3 linked regions of the Drosophila melanogaster genome follow. The protein of the gene in region 3 purifies or fractionates together with the protein of the main gene of each other region. This does not show direct contact. Each region holds a gene or a part of one and is shown on either strand. Other genes may lie near its edges.

Evidence for each region. The genes of interacting proteins can lie anywhere in the genome.
Region 1: the proteins of CG13319 (region 3) and Prosbeta7 purify together in Drosophila melanogaster (affinity purification with mass spectrometry, with the first as the bait; one large-scale study listed by BioGRID). This does not show direct contact.
Region 2: the proteins of CG13319 (region 3) and CG14480 purify together in Drosophila melanogaster (affinity purification with mass spectrometry, with the first as the bait; one large-scale study listed by BioGRID). This does not show direct contact.

Annotation. Positions count from the first base shown.
Region 1 is NT_033777.3:5,356,512-5,360,328, forward strand, and holds Prosbeta7 (proteasome beta7 subunit), read right to left. Parts: upstream 1,854-3,817; 5' UTR 1,565-1,853; coding exon 1,413-1,564; intron 1,346-1,412; coding exon 844-1,345; intron 773-843; coding exon 620-772; 3' UTR 501-619; downstream 1-500. Other genes in the region: CG1161 (uncharacterized protein), read left to right, coding at 1-69; Cerk (ceramide kinase), read right to left, coding at 2,647-2,776, 2,837-3,039, 3,468-3,817. UniProt on the Drosophila melanogaster protein: Non-catalytic component of the proteasome, a multicatalytic proteinase complex which is characterized by its ability to cleave peptides with Arg, Phe, Tyr, Leu, and Glu adjacent to the leaving group at neutral or slightly basic pH.
Region 2 is NT_033778.4:17,562,473-17,566,352, forward strand, and holds CG14480 (uncharacterized protein), read left to right. Parts: upstream 1-1,867; 5' UTR 1,868-1,964; coding exon of another isoform or gene 1,965-2,275; 5' UTR 2,276-2,435; coding exon 2,436-2,631; intron 2,632-2,691; coding exon 2,692-2,852; intron 2,853-2,915; coding exon 2,916-3,308; 3' UTR 3,309-3,380; downstream 3,381-3,880. Other genes in the region: Klp54D (Kinesin-like protein at 54D), read left to right, coding at 1-66, 486-809, 869-881; CG43324 (uncharacterized protein), read left to right, coding at 1,313-1,513; CG46428 (uncharacterized protein), read left to right, coding at 1,965-2,246; Ns2 (nucleostemin 2), read right to left, coding at 3,387-3,880.
Region 3 is NT_033778.4:12,921,192-12,926,309, forward strand, and holds CG13319 (uncharacterized protein), read left to right. Parts: upstream 1-2,712; 5' UTR 2,713-2,757; coding exon 2,758-3,156; 3' UTR 3,157-3,160; intron 3,161-3,230; 3' UTR 3,231-3,473; downstream 3,474-5,118. Other genes in the region: NAT1, read left to right, coding at 1-1,619, 1,688-1,866.

The DNA.
Region 1 (3,817 bases), on a different chromosome or scaffold from region 3:
GACAAGTGGAAGCGGCAGGTGCGCGAGCAGAGACGCCACATCTACGACAGGCATACCATGCTAAACTAACAAGGGGTTCGGTTTGCAGCTGGCGGAGATTAGGAGGCGCATGGGCGACTTAAGACACGTATTCCAAGCAGTTATCCTTTGCGAAATTCCCCTTTGGATCAAATTGATTATCTGTATATTTAGCCAGATTTTATGTTAATTAAAATAAACCAAAATATGTTTGTCAGGAGTGTTTGCATATTAATTAATAAGTTGAATGCCGGGAGGAATAACCAACAAATCCACTAAAATAAAACTTTTAATGATAATTGATGGTTATAATTTGGGAAAATAAGGAACGTAAGACCGTAATGGTGAGTCCAAGTTAGATTTGGAAACTCCCTTGGGCTTCTTAGTTTGACGCCTACTTTTTGATTCCATCAGTAGAGATTAACGAAAGAATAACTCGAAGATAGTTTCTATCACACAATAACCATAACTTTAAACGTATTATTTTCAGCCACATTTATTTTTAATAAATCATGTAACCACATATCCTTAGACAAGTGTTTTTTTTTAATGCAAAACCGCCGAGCTAGACCTAAACTAAGTTCATTCAGAATCGGAGGCTCTAGTATCCCTTTATGGTTTCGGCGAATGTCCAGTTTTCGTTAACTTGGAAGGGCCCCTCCACGCCGCATCCGTTGACGCTGCACACGCCCACAGTGTATTGGGAAATATTACGAGTATCGCGGTAGTAAAGCACCTCCATGCATGTGCGGATCTAGAATATAAGAAAATGGTAGGGTAGTTAAATAATGAAGAGTCCCCCCATCAGAGTTCGAAATTCCTTACCAGTTCGGAAGCTTCTACGGCGGTAAAGTCCCTGTCCTTGGGCTTCTTCTCACGGACCAGCGGAACGGCCAAATGGCGGGCAAAACCAGTGGCCACCACGTAGTCCTCGTAGGATCGTCCACGGAGATCCACGTTGGCCAGGTACGGAGTCCCCTCGTTGTCCACGCCGCCGACAACCACGTCAATGTAGAGGGGGTTCATCCGCGAACGACGGTTGTAGAGCACACGGGTCATCCAACTGGCCAAGGACTTGGGCTTCATCTCGATGTTGTCGTCGCAGCACTGGTCCTCGATCATCTTCTGGTCGATGTTGCGCTTGATGGACTGGATGTCAGCGAAGTCGCCGCTCCCGCCGAGCAGGATGTTCTTGTTGACCTTAAAGACGCGCTCAATGTTTTGGTAGCGGGCCATGGATCCGTAAGACACCAGGGTGTCGGCGGCCAGCATCACTCCTGAATCATAGCGAATGCCAAGCACGGAAGTGCCCGTGGTGCTGGAAGCACTGCGGAATAGTAAAAGGAGTGTAAACAAGTGGTACATCTGCATATAAACATATCCGCAGTTCCTACGTGCTGTGCTTGGTTCCATAGGGTCCCATTGTGGTCAGCTCCCGCGGTAGCTGCTGGACCGGCGTCTGTCCGCCCGTGAAGTTGTAGAACTCGCCGGGAGCGGGTCCGTTCTGCCACATGGGCTGCGCTAGGCTGTTGTAGTTGTTCAACATGCTAATTTATTCGGAGACTGGAATAACGCGAGACTTTGAAATGTTTGTCGCTGCCGGAGAATGACGGGCACAAATAAAATCAAGAGTCAGCGCAGTGTGAACAGACTTTAGGCGGGCGGCAATACCAGTATCGGCAACCGGTAGCTAAAAATACCAGACATACCAAAGATGAATCCACTATTAGCTTGGTCACACCGTTTTACATGTGTTAAATTAAATTAATTTGAAGTTTAATTGTGAACTTTTTAACATTTTATTAGATGTTGATGTTAAAAGTAATGTAAAACAGTTAACACCACGCTGCCTATACTGAATTTGTTTTTTTACTTTTGTCTTTATAATCCTCGTTGATAATACAAATCAAGGAGAAGAAAGATAAGAAATTAAAGAACTTTTCACTCAATTAGGATTAAGACTCATGTATACCCGTTGCTTCTACGGTATTTACTACTCCTTGAAACTAAATATATGTTTAGTTAATATATAATGACCATTTGCTTTACTTCATTTTAAGCCGTTCAATGGTCATTAAAGTATAAGAATCGAGAGCAATAAATGTAAATGACGTTTGGAAATTATCCTGGTCAATCTACAAATCCAATATCTCCCTTCTCTCCCTTCGAACACGATTCTCCATAGCTTTTTAAGCGGAATAAGGTTCTTTTGCTAAAACTTCTGCTTTTATTCATATTGGTGGGAAAAACGCACATGTTCCGGATTGTTGTTTTTGGGAACCCAACGAAGTTTTTTATCATAACATTTGATCATATAAATTAATAATAAAGAATTATAAATTTGAAGACATATAAATACATTTTTATTGCCAGTATACCAGTACACAATTTGTAAATATATAGGTATGTGCATAATGCTTCCGAGGGGAATGTTTAGGTTGCTGCCGCATCTTTCAGATGCCATAATACAGTCGATAATATCAGTTGCTTTATTGAGCTATGCTAAAAACAATGACGGGGAGACCCGCTCTTTAACACGATACATATACGAATAAGGATACCCTACGCAAAACTAAGAGCTACATGTCACGGCCAACGATTGATGCTAATTCTATGGGGTTAAAGCTTCTAGTCCTTGCAGCAGCAGTAAACATTGTCGCTAGAGCTAGCTGGGGTTGTGGGCGTGGTGCCGCCCTTGAGGGGCTTGCTGTAGGAATGGGGACCCCGCATGAAGACCTCGATGAGCTGACAATGCGATCTGCCAGATACGGAACGGTTAATAAGCGATTTATTGAAGTTAAAGGTACAACCAACTCACCGCATGGTTATGTCCAGGTCGGTCACCACCTCTCCATCACAGTTCCAGCTGGAAAACTCCGTCGAGGAGGAGTGGGCGGTCATTTCTTCAGGCGGTGTAATCGGCTGACAAGACCCTGCCAAGCTGTAGTCCTCCTCGCTGGCAGAAAAAGTTCTGAACCGGAATTCCCTTGTGCGATATACCTCTACAAAAGGCAAATTGCGCTGCAATGGGAAAATGTTTTTAAATATTTATTGTTTTCTACAAAATTTAATTGTATCCTTTTATTTTTCATTTATATTTTTACAGTAAAAGATACCATCGCATTCACTAGATAAAACATTATATTGTTGAAACTGGTCAAGTATATACTTTATATGGATGCCACCAGAGCGGCTAGTAGATCTTCGTAAAATAACCTTTCTGTCACAGATTTCCCTCGCTTCAATCCGAGCTAGATGGGGTTCGGTTTTGGGTTTTTGGCTTTTAGGATAGAAAGCACTAAGCTCAGCTTGTAGGCTTAGGGGATTTGGCAATTAAAGATGCAGTTAAAATGTTATGGAAATGTTATTTCAAAGGAAATGGACGCCTCTTATAGGAAAGGTGTTCTTTTGGATGTGAAAGTTGAATAGTTGTAATAGTTAGTACTCACAATATCACCACTTCTGCCCGCCGTGTTGAGCAGAAAACGCACGTTGTTGAGCAGTGAGGTCTTTTTCACGAGAATCAGGTCCAGGCAACCATCACCCAGATGACTGTAACGGGAGATGCCATTGGGACTCCTGGCGCAGGCGCAGGTTATGTTCGCGCCGCAGATCATAAAGAAATTGCCCCGCACAACCTTCCACTGATCGTTGCCGAGGTTCCTCATTGATGAAATGGAGCCAGTGGGCAATCGAAGATTGCCTGGACGCGGACGAGGCCTCAGGAGTGCTGCTTCACTGGCGGCTAGATGAGAGTCCTCTGTTTCTACCTGCTGATTGCGCTCTGCCTCTTTAGATT
Region 2 (3,880 bases), 4.6 Mb from region 3:
TAGGGATCAGGAGATAGTCTGCCGAGAAAACGAGCGCCTGCTTAAGAAGCTGGAGGATGTCAATAAGTAAGTGGGATGCTTTGCATGTTGAATTCGGGTCGGAACGATAGTTTTAAGTCTTGAACTGGTTTTTGATTCCTTCTCCAGGACTGGCTCATTGTTCTCTCCCATTTCTGACTCGTTCTAGGTCGAATCCGAACGGGAATGAGGACAGTGAGCCAAGCCAGAAGGTCCAGCCGAATAAGGAGTGAAATATTACCTATATACATATATCGAATGTTTTCTACTTTTTAACCAGTTTTATGTAAAATGTATTCGTAAATGTTAAAAAAAAACAAGCCAAGAGTGTGACTAGTCATGTAAGGATTTGTAATAAAAGTTTGTTTTTGTTCCTATGAAGCTCGTAGCTTCTCTACATTTTTCATTACAAAGTAAAAACACTATGATTAAATTATGATTTAATGTTTATTAATATTCTTTTACAGAGTCTGTGTGCGTTCCCCATTGATACCAGCACGTCCGGCCATATCCCCAACGACAGGAAAGGAAACACCTGGCACTGAGATCTGGACAAATCCAGAACCGCTCCAATCTCCACCAGGACCAGATTTACCAATAGAGCAGCGGATGTCGGAGAACGCTAATAGACGGACAGATACGGCTCAAAAGCGAATCGATCAGAAAAGAATAGCCAAGAACATTCTGATTATGGCCAATGCATTCCGGAAACCGGACTCAGACATTACCAAGGAGTTGAACCTGAATCCGGAGGAGGCGCATGCTAAGCAGTCGACAGAGTTTATGCCAGAGTAAGTTTTTAGAAACATCACCTAATTAATTTTACTCATAATTTCATTTTTATTTCCAGCATGCTCACATAATTAACTTTAAATAAAAACAGTTGTAAACTATATATTTTTGCAATAAATAAAATAAACGGTGTACAAAACATTGATAAAAAAAATCTATAGCCAATAGGACATATATTGATACAATTTATGAAAGCTTATAGTTATTCCAAGATTCAAAAACTGTGAAATCTTTCCCCACACCAACAAGAAGCTTTCACCAACGGCTGGCAAAAGTCGGAAAACTAAAGCACCATTCTCAACGCGGTCACACTTTTTATAAATATTGATTTTTCAGCGCCCCCAATAAAATATTTCATCGAGAAGTAGAGCGCATATTTCTCGCTTACAATATTGGGGAAATCGAAATAAGCACAACTCAAATTGAATCAAATCAATATTACAGCAGTATTAGCATCCCAGCAACCACCATAGGTCTCGCGGAGACAGCCGTCCTGGACATAATGGCTGCTAATTTGCAACAGCAGCGCTCCATCAACTTGCAGCTACGGCGGGAAGTGGAGATGGAGCGTATGCCCGTCTCGGTGGCATGCTCCTTGATGATGAAGTACATGTTGGAGCACGAGGAGGAAGACTGCCTGCTCAGCGGCTTCACACAGAAGGTGAATCCGTTTCGCGAGAAAAGCTCCTGCAGCATCCTGTAGATTCGGATACATCATGATCCGGACCCAATCCTAACAGTATTATCCTATAATGTATACTCAATCACGGCGAAGTTCAGAATCAGTCGTATTACCTATTTGCTGTTCGTTGTAAGTGTGCTGACCTCAATTATGTCTATAAACTAAGTATATACATTGGAAACGGACGAACCGAGAATTTATGGATGTATAAACAAAATACGAGAAACCGTCTTCACCTAAAACGCCTGCATATGTGTGTATGAATATCGTGTATTTTGCTAATCCTGTAGCTCTTTATTGGAGAATTTAGCAAAGCCCCATCCTATATAGATGTTTCCTATTGAGATATTCCTGAAATAAAGTCATGTAACCAGTGATTTTCATGTGAAGGGTATTTGTTTCGATTTACCTGAGGAAGAATTTTCAAAATTTCAGAATGTTCCGGATGAGTGTCTCGCCTTTACCATGGACAATGCGACCAAGCAAGTTCCCATCCGCTAATCCCTACTTTATTTTCTTTGACCACTTTCGGATTAATCTTCAAAAGCGGGACATTTGCCATCTGAAACCGATTTCCTTGGCCAAAATAGCCGGCAGAAAATGGCGAGAAATGACAACCGCCCAAAAATCAGTTTTTGTGCAGATAGCCGAAATAAATCGAGCCAGGCTTAGGGCCCGTGGTCGCCCCAGTGTTCCAGTTGGTAGAGTAAGGCGCTGTCATATTAAAAGAGTTTATAAGGATAGTTCATTTTAGTGGGACTTGGAAAGTTTTTCAACGTTTAACTTAAAATGACACAGAAGCATTAGCAATTCCCGCCACTAGTTCAAATTTTCACGAGCCACTACCAACACTTCTATATCATCGCACAGCTGCTAATTCGACGTTCACCACACTGGCAATAGTTGTGGTCTGTAAAAAAGAGCAATTTTACGAAAGTACAGCATGAGTTCGGGCTTTGTGACTGAAGCTGAGGCGACCGAGCAAAGGCAGAGACGTCAGGAGGAATGGGAGCGTGTACGCCAGCCGGAGGATCCACTAGAACGACCTGAGGAACCCTACGATGGGCGCTCACTTTATGAACGCCTCAAACAAAATAAGGACAAGAAGGACATGGAGTTCGAGGAAGCCCACAAGCTGAGTAAGACTATGCCATAAACAATGCAATCTGGCCATCCTAACATGCGTAATATACGTATAGAAAACCTCATCCGTGGTCTGGACGATGATGAGGTGCAGTTTCTGGAATTGGTCGATGCCCATAAAATACACGCGGAGCGCCAGCAAATGCGCGACGAGGAGCTAGAACTAAAGGATTTTCGCAATCGTGTGGAAAAGCTGCAGGAGGAGAGTGTAGACAAGGTGGGTAAAGTTACAGCAACAATCAATTGATTTTACAATCACCCGAACTTCCGCAACCCTCAGAAACTGCAAGCTGAACTAAAAACCACAGCGAAGTCCGCGGGAGCTTCGGTCGGGCGTAGCACTCAGAAGACGCTGCTCGGCCAGGGCATCAAGAGAAAAAACGGCGAACTGCCCACCACCAGTAAAGTAGCCAAAATCACTGAGAATGAGGTCGAACAGACAGCGACAAATGAAGCAACCAAGGACCCTGCTGATAAGACAACGAACACCACATTAATTACAAACAAATACAACCAGGGGGCCCTAAAGTGCATCGCTATACTTCCGGGCATCGGCTCCTACACGGAGTCTAGTGACTCGGAGGCCAGCACCGATGAGGAGGAACCCAGTATGTGCAGCCGAACCGACTTATGTGGCCGCAAAATTCCCAAGAAGAAGCAGTGCTCAGAGTAGGATCAACTTTTTATTTGGATTCTTAAAGTGTAGTTTTTCCTTGCAAGAAAATATAGCCTAGAGTGTAAACGTAATATTTTACGCGTCCTTCTTTTTGTTTCTATTGCGATTCTTAACATTTGTCGTCTCGTAAAAGTTGCTGCCAATCTTCTTGCGTTTCTGACTGCGCTCCAGGGAGCGTTTTTGCTTTGCAGTCAACCGAGGAGCCTTTGAAGTGCTGGGTCCATCGTCGTCAGAGCTGCCAGCACCATCCGAATCACCAGGTTGTATTTTGGCCACTCGGAATTTACCAGACGATGTGATGGCCAGCTGTTGTGGCTTCTTTGACTTGGCCTTCTTGTGCACAACGCGTTGCAAGTCCTCATTGTACTCGTCCTCCGAGTAAAACTCGTCCGCTCCATCGCTAGACTCCTCGTCCTCTTCACCGAGGTTGTGGATGCGAGCCTTTTTCTTTGCCGCACGCTCGGCCTTCTGTTGCTCTAAAAGCTCTAGATCTATGTGATCAAGATCCTTCACATCTTCCTGCTCATACTCAAGACCCACGCGTATTTTTCGAAAATCTTGGATCTGCT
Region 3 (5,118 bases):
CAGGGATCGCAATGACGGACAGTATGGGGGCAATCAGCTGCTGGGTAGTAAGGAATTGGCACCGAGGTTCAAACGCAACTTGATCACCACGAACCAGGATGCGGTGGAGAACTTGCAAATGCGCCCGGCAGCCAACTCCTTGCTCTTCCGAGCGGCCTCCCAGAACCAAAAGTTTCCGGCTACGTTGCCCATGTCAACACCGCCCAATAGCAGCGGCAGCAACAACCAGGGCAGCTCGCAGGGCCAGCTCTCGAACTCCCACTACCCTATGCTCGGCACGCCCACATCCCATCTGATCAATCCAACGCGTCCCTCGTCAACACCATCTGCTGAGTATGCTGATAACCGAACTCTTTTGGGAGTTCAACAGGAGAGGGGATTGAAGGCCACCTCTTCTTCGCCGAACTTTTCATCAGGAGCGGAGAAGTTGGATTTAGACGGTCAGGCGGGCAGAAAGGGATCGCACGACGGCAAAGATCAGGGCAAGAATGGCTCCGTGGAGAGACCAAGCACTCCGGCCGGCGGTATTGGCTCGGCCAAGCAACAAAAGAAAGATAAGGGTCCCAACAAGGAGGAGCTGTCTAAGAAGGCCAGTCAGTACTTCAAGGATAGGTTCTACTACGATGAGGAGGAGGATGCAGAGGTGACGGAAATTGAGATCAAGGATATTGATGAGACAAAGACGGAGGAGGCCGACGCTGCTCCAGTTGAAGTCTCGGAGGTAAAGGAAGATGCTGCAATACCTGTGACCACTCCAGATCGCTTCACCAAGCTTGTAGATGGTTTCCTCGAGCTTAAGCTGCCAGAGAAGGCGCTGAAGGATGTGTGCATCAATCTGCTGATGGAGGTCTTGGACCGTGTAAACGATGTCTTCTTGGAGCGTGCTGTGCGCCTTCTGCAGACATTGCGCAAGCAATCCAATATCAAGCCGAACATCGTGGTCGAGATTTTCAAGCAGGTGGTCAACAAGATGAACGAGCGAGAGGCACTCAATCCCCGAATCGTTAGTCTTGTAGCCAGCTTGCTGGCAAAGACAATTTGCGAGCCAGCATTGCTGAAGTTAAGCGATATCGCCAACTTCACGGACAATGGCCAACACTATCCGCTGTTCCTGCTCGTGCTGCAGCAACTGGTCAAGGTCATCGGCAAGGATGCGCTGGAAGAGAAATTCCGGGCGAGCAAAGTTGATCTTATGAACAGCCTGCCGGAGGCGGATCGGAACAAGGAGCGCTTGGCCGGGATACTCGAGGATCGCAAGCTTTCTTTCCTTTATCCGCTATTGAAGGTACAGGCCGAGATGCTAAAACAGCTGCAAAGCGACCCGAACCCCAACAACTTCTACAAGTGGATCAAGGCCAACGTTGACAACAAATACTACAAGGACCCGGGCTTTATCCAAGCCCTAATGACCGTGGTGGTCAAGTATGTGACCAAGGAGACGACGCTGGCGGACAACCTCGACCCCAAGGAGCACCCTGAGAAATCGGTGACCCAGAAGGAGCAACAGCTGCTGGAGAACTACAGCCAGATGCTGCAGACCTTCCTGGGACAGAACGAGCTTCAGTTGATGGCTCTCTATGCTCTGCAAACGTTCTGCTACAATGAAAATTTCCCCAAGGGTAAGTGCTCAACATTTTAAATCTAATCTGTTTTATCGGCAACTTATATTTGCTTTTTTCTTCGTTAGGCATGCTGTGCCGTTGGTTCAAGTATCTTTACGAATCTGAAATTATAGAGGAGGAGGCATTCGTCCTGTGGAAGGAGGAGATTTCCGACAAATATCCAGGCAAAGGATCCGCTTTGTTCCAAGTGAACGCCTGGTTGACTTGGCTGCAGGAGGCCGAATCTGAGGACGATGAGGATTAGAAAGCAACGCAGTCCCGCATAATAACAGCGCTATATGTTTATCACTTCCAATATTTATTCACAAATCGATAATGATTACATGATGAAAAACAACAAAACTAACAAAACACGAAAAATAAGAAACAAAATACCATCAGGGTGGAAGTTTGAAATCGCGGTTGCAAAACTTAGTCAAATTATAGTAAAAAAGAAAAACAAAACAAAAAAAATTAATCAAAATTATTTGATATCCAACAAATTCAAAGAACATTAACAATCAATTATCAATAAATAAAGCGCAATAGACGTCAAATATAACCGATATTTATCCATACATCATAATTCTCATTGACATTTCAAGCATAACGAATAATTAGTGAATTTCATCTTTTTTTTTTAACATAACAACCGGAACTGATCTTTAAATCGAATAACGTTGATTTCAATTGCCTTTTTTTGGTACTCTCGACGATTTCCCTTTTGTGTATTTAAATAAGTAGGTCAAATCAAAGCGACAACATTAACATTATAGAAAAGGAAAAACCAATCGACGCGCGCCGAAGAGAGCAAAACAAAATCTGAATGTAATTGTGAACAAAATATCGTATATATGTATTTAACTCAACCAACGTAAACATTAAAAAACTCGCCCACATTAAATAGAGCCTTAATAAATGCAACCAACACTGCGAACGGCGAAATCAAACTGACTTTCATTGGCTTTTGAGGGAGTAATGCAAATTTAAAATCCGCGCCTAAGCTCTGTAATAGCTGCCTATCGATACAATTTTCGATTATTTTGAAAAGCTATCTATGGTCGTTTCGTTATCTGGCAACACCGCTCCGGTCAAACTTGCTATTTCATTGTTTTCCTTGTGAATATTGCTTGTTTATGTATAAAATTCACGACTAATGGATAGCGTTCCTGCGAATGTTGTGCCTGCGAAGGAGTCTGGTGGTTTCACCTCACATTGCGTCCACTTGGCGGCGGGTCCCTCGCAATTCACCGTGCGCGCCCTGAAAATGCAAGGCAGCACCATGCTGATCATAAACCCCAAGGGATTGGAGGTTTTCGAGGAGCTAGCGGTGGCCATGCCCTCTCGCAATCCCGCCAGCAGCCAGTCCCTATCCTCCACAATCCTGGGCGGACACGGGCAGACCGACTCATCTGTTCTGGCCGCCAAATTGAGTAAACGCTACTGCCGCCAGTTCTACGTGAGCCTTAATCTCAAACTGGATCGATTAATGGGCCCTCTGTTCGAGAAGACGCTAGTCACCTACATGCAAGACCATCTGGAGCACTTCGCTTGAGTGGGTACAACAACTTAGTGTGGCATAAATTTAATCCTCAATCGCTGACTTATTTCTGGTTCACGTGCACACAGGGCCCGCCTGCGCTACCGATGACACGGCGCCGCGTGGGGGTCAACGTCTATTTCGGGGACCGGCGGCTACCCCACGGACGCAGCTTCACGTACTCTACGCACTCCATCAGCTAACTATCTGGGATCTCCGATTCCCGATCTCCGCTCAGACGTCATGCGGCGGCCGAGTGAGCACGAACTTTAAACGTGTATCGGTGATACGAATTTTGTACAATAAATTTATTGCCCTAAGTAAGTTTACAGACGCATGTGGGCTTTATCAATTGTGTCGCGATAGCAGTGCTCAATGTAAGAAGAAGTCACCCGCTGTGTGAGTGATCGCGTGCCACCCGCATGCTATTCATGCTGCTGCTTCACCACCCAATGATTTGAAGGTCAGTTTGGCTGCAGTGATGATCGCTTGATAGGTGATTTCCCCGCCATCGTATTAAATTCGAATATACATATGTGTGTGTTCGCATTGCGCCGGTTTGTTCATCAGGCCTCCGTTTCGGTTTCCCTTTCGAATGAATGTTTAGGTTTAGGGAGAAGTTAATATGTAATAATCATTCGGAAGTTTTCCAAATGGGTACCATTTCAGTTTGATCACTGAATACCTCTGACAAATAATATCATTAGATTTGTTTTTATGTTGTTAATTTGAACTATTCGAAAAGTTAGTAGGATACCACTATCAAATGTATGTATTAACTAGCGGGTTTACAATTCACAATGTGATTAACAAGCTTCTAAATTTGTGTGAATAATACTGGTTGAAAATATTATATCTCTTGTTACAGTTCGTTTAGCTTTTGAAAAAATGATATTGGTGATGACTGACTATAGGAACTCTCAACTTTACTAATTACCCACGAGCAAAAAGTTGATGTCACTTCCTGCATGAGTTCCCAATTATAATGATTGCGATATCCAAAATATCCAAGTCACTATTCACTATTTCAGAATGGTTCTATGTCACAGAAAGTCTGCAACTTGAACAGTTTGATACTCAGGTATAGATAGTTGAAGGACCAACGCGACACCTTCATAATGCCCTTTATCTATCGGCATTCTCAGACTGAAAGTTGGCTATACTTCCTGCCCGCCAATCGTAAATATAAATCGGTTGATAAGACGTCTGAATTACCCCCGCCAAGAATGCCAGTCATATTTTTAATGGAACAGCCCCCAGCAGCGTTGTGCTATGGTTGTGTTGGATCACACCGCCTGGAGGTGCCATTGAAACTTTTCCGCTAAACAACCCAATGGGAGGGAGGGAGCAGCAACAAAATGAAAAACACTAATGTACGAAAAAAACAAATTTCGCCTCTCATAATAATGCCCAGTCTAGACGAGATATTGTCAGGCGTATCAGTGGTGGTAACAGCGACAAGAGCATATCGCTCCAAAAAAAAAATAGCAGCACCCATTGAACGGGTATAAAAATAGAGCTTCAGCCGGAAGGTCTGCGCTCCGGGGTCTGTGGGCTCCCACGAATGTCTGGAATGTTTTTTTCCCCCGTTTTTTTTTTTCTGCTTTTGGTTTCCCCAGTTGCCTAATAACTTTTCCTTTTTGGCCATATCAAAAGCTGTCTGGCGATAAGCGCCCTATAAATAATAGATCCGAGTCGGCCGAATTCGAGCAGCCATCTGTAATTATCGGGTCGGAATGTGAGTGCGAGTAGTTGTGGCTTCCATGCCTCGGTTGCATGTCCCTGGCTTGGATGACTGGCTGGCCCGGCTGGCGGTACATGGACTTTGGAAGTCTATCGTTGGCGGCAACAAAGTAATTAGCCTTCTGCGGGACTACCATAGTCATATCAGCGCCCCCAGTGGGTTCCCACTGCAGCGATAAGCCGGCTGGACTACGCGTGGAACCTTCTCCGCGGCGGCTGCTGCTGCTATTTCTG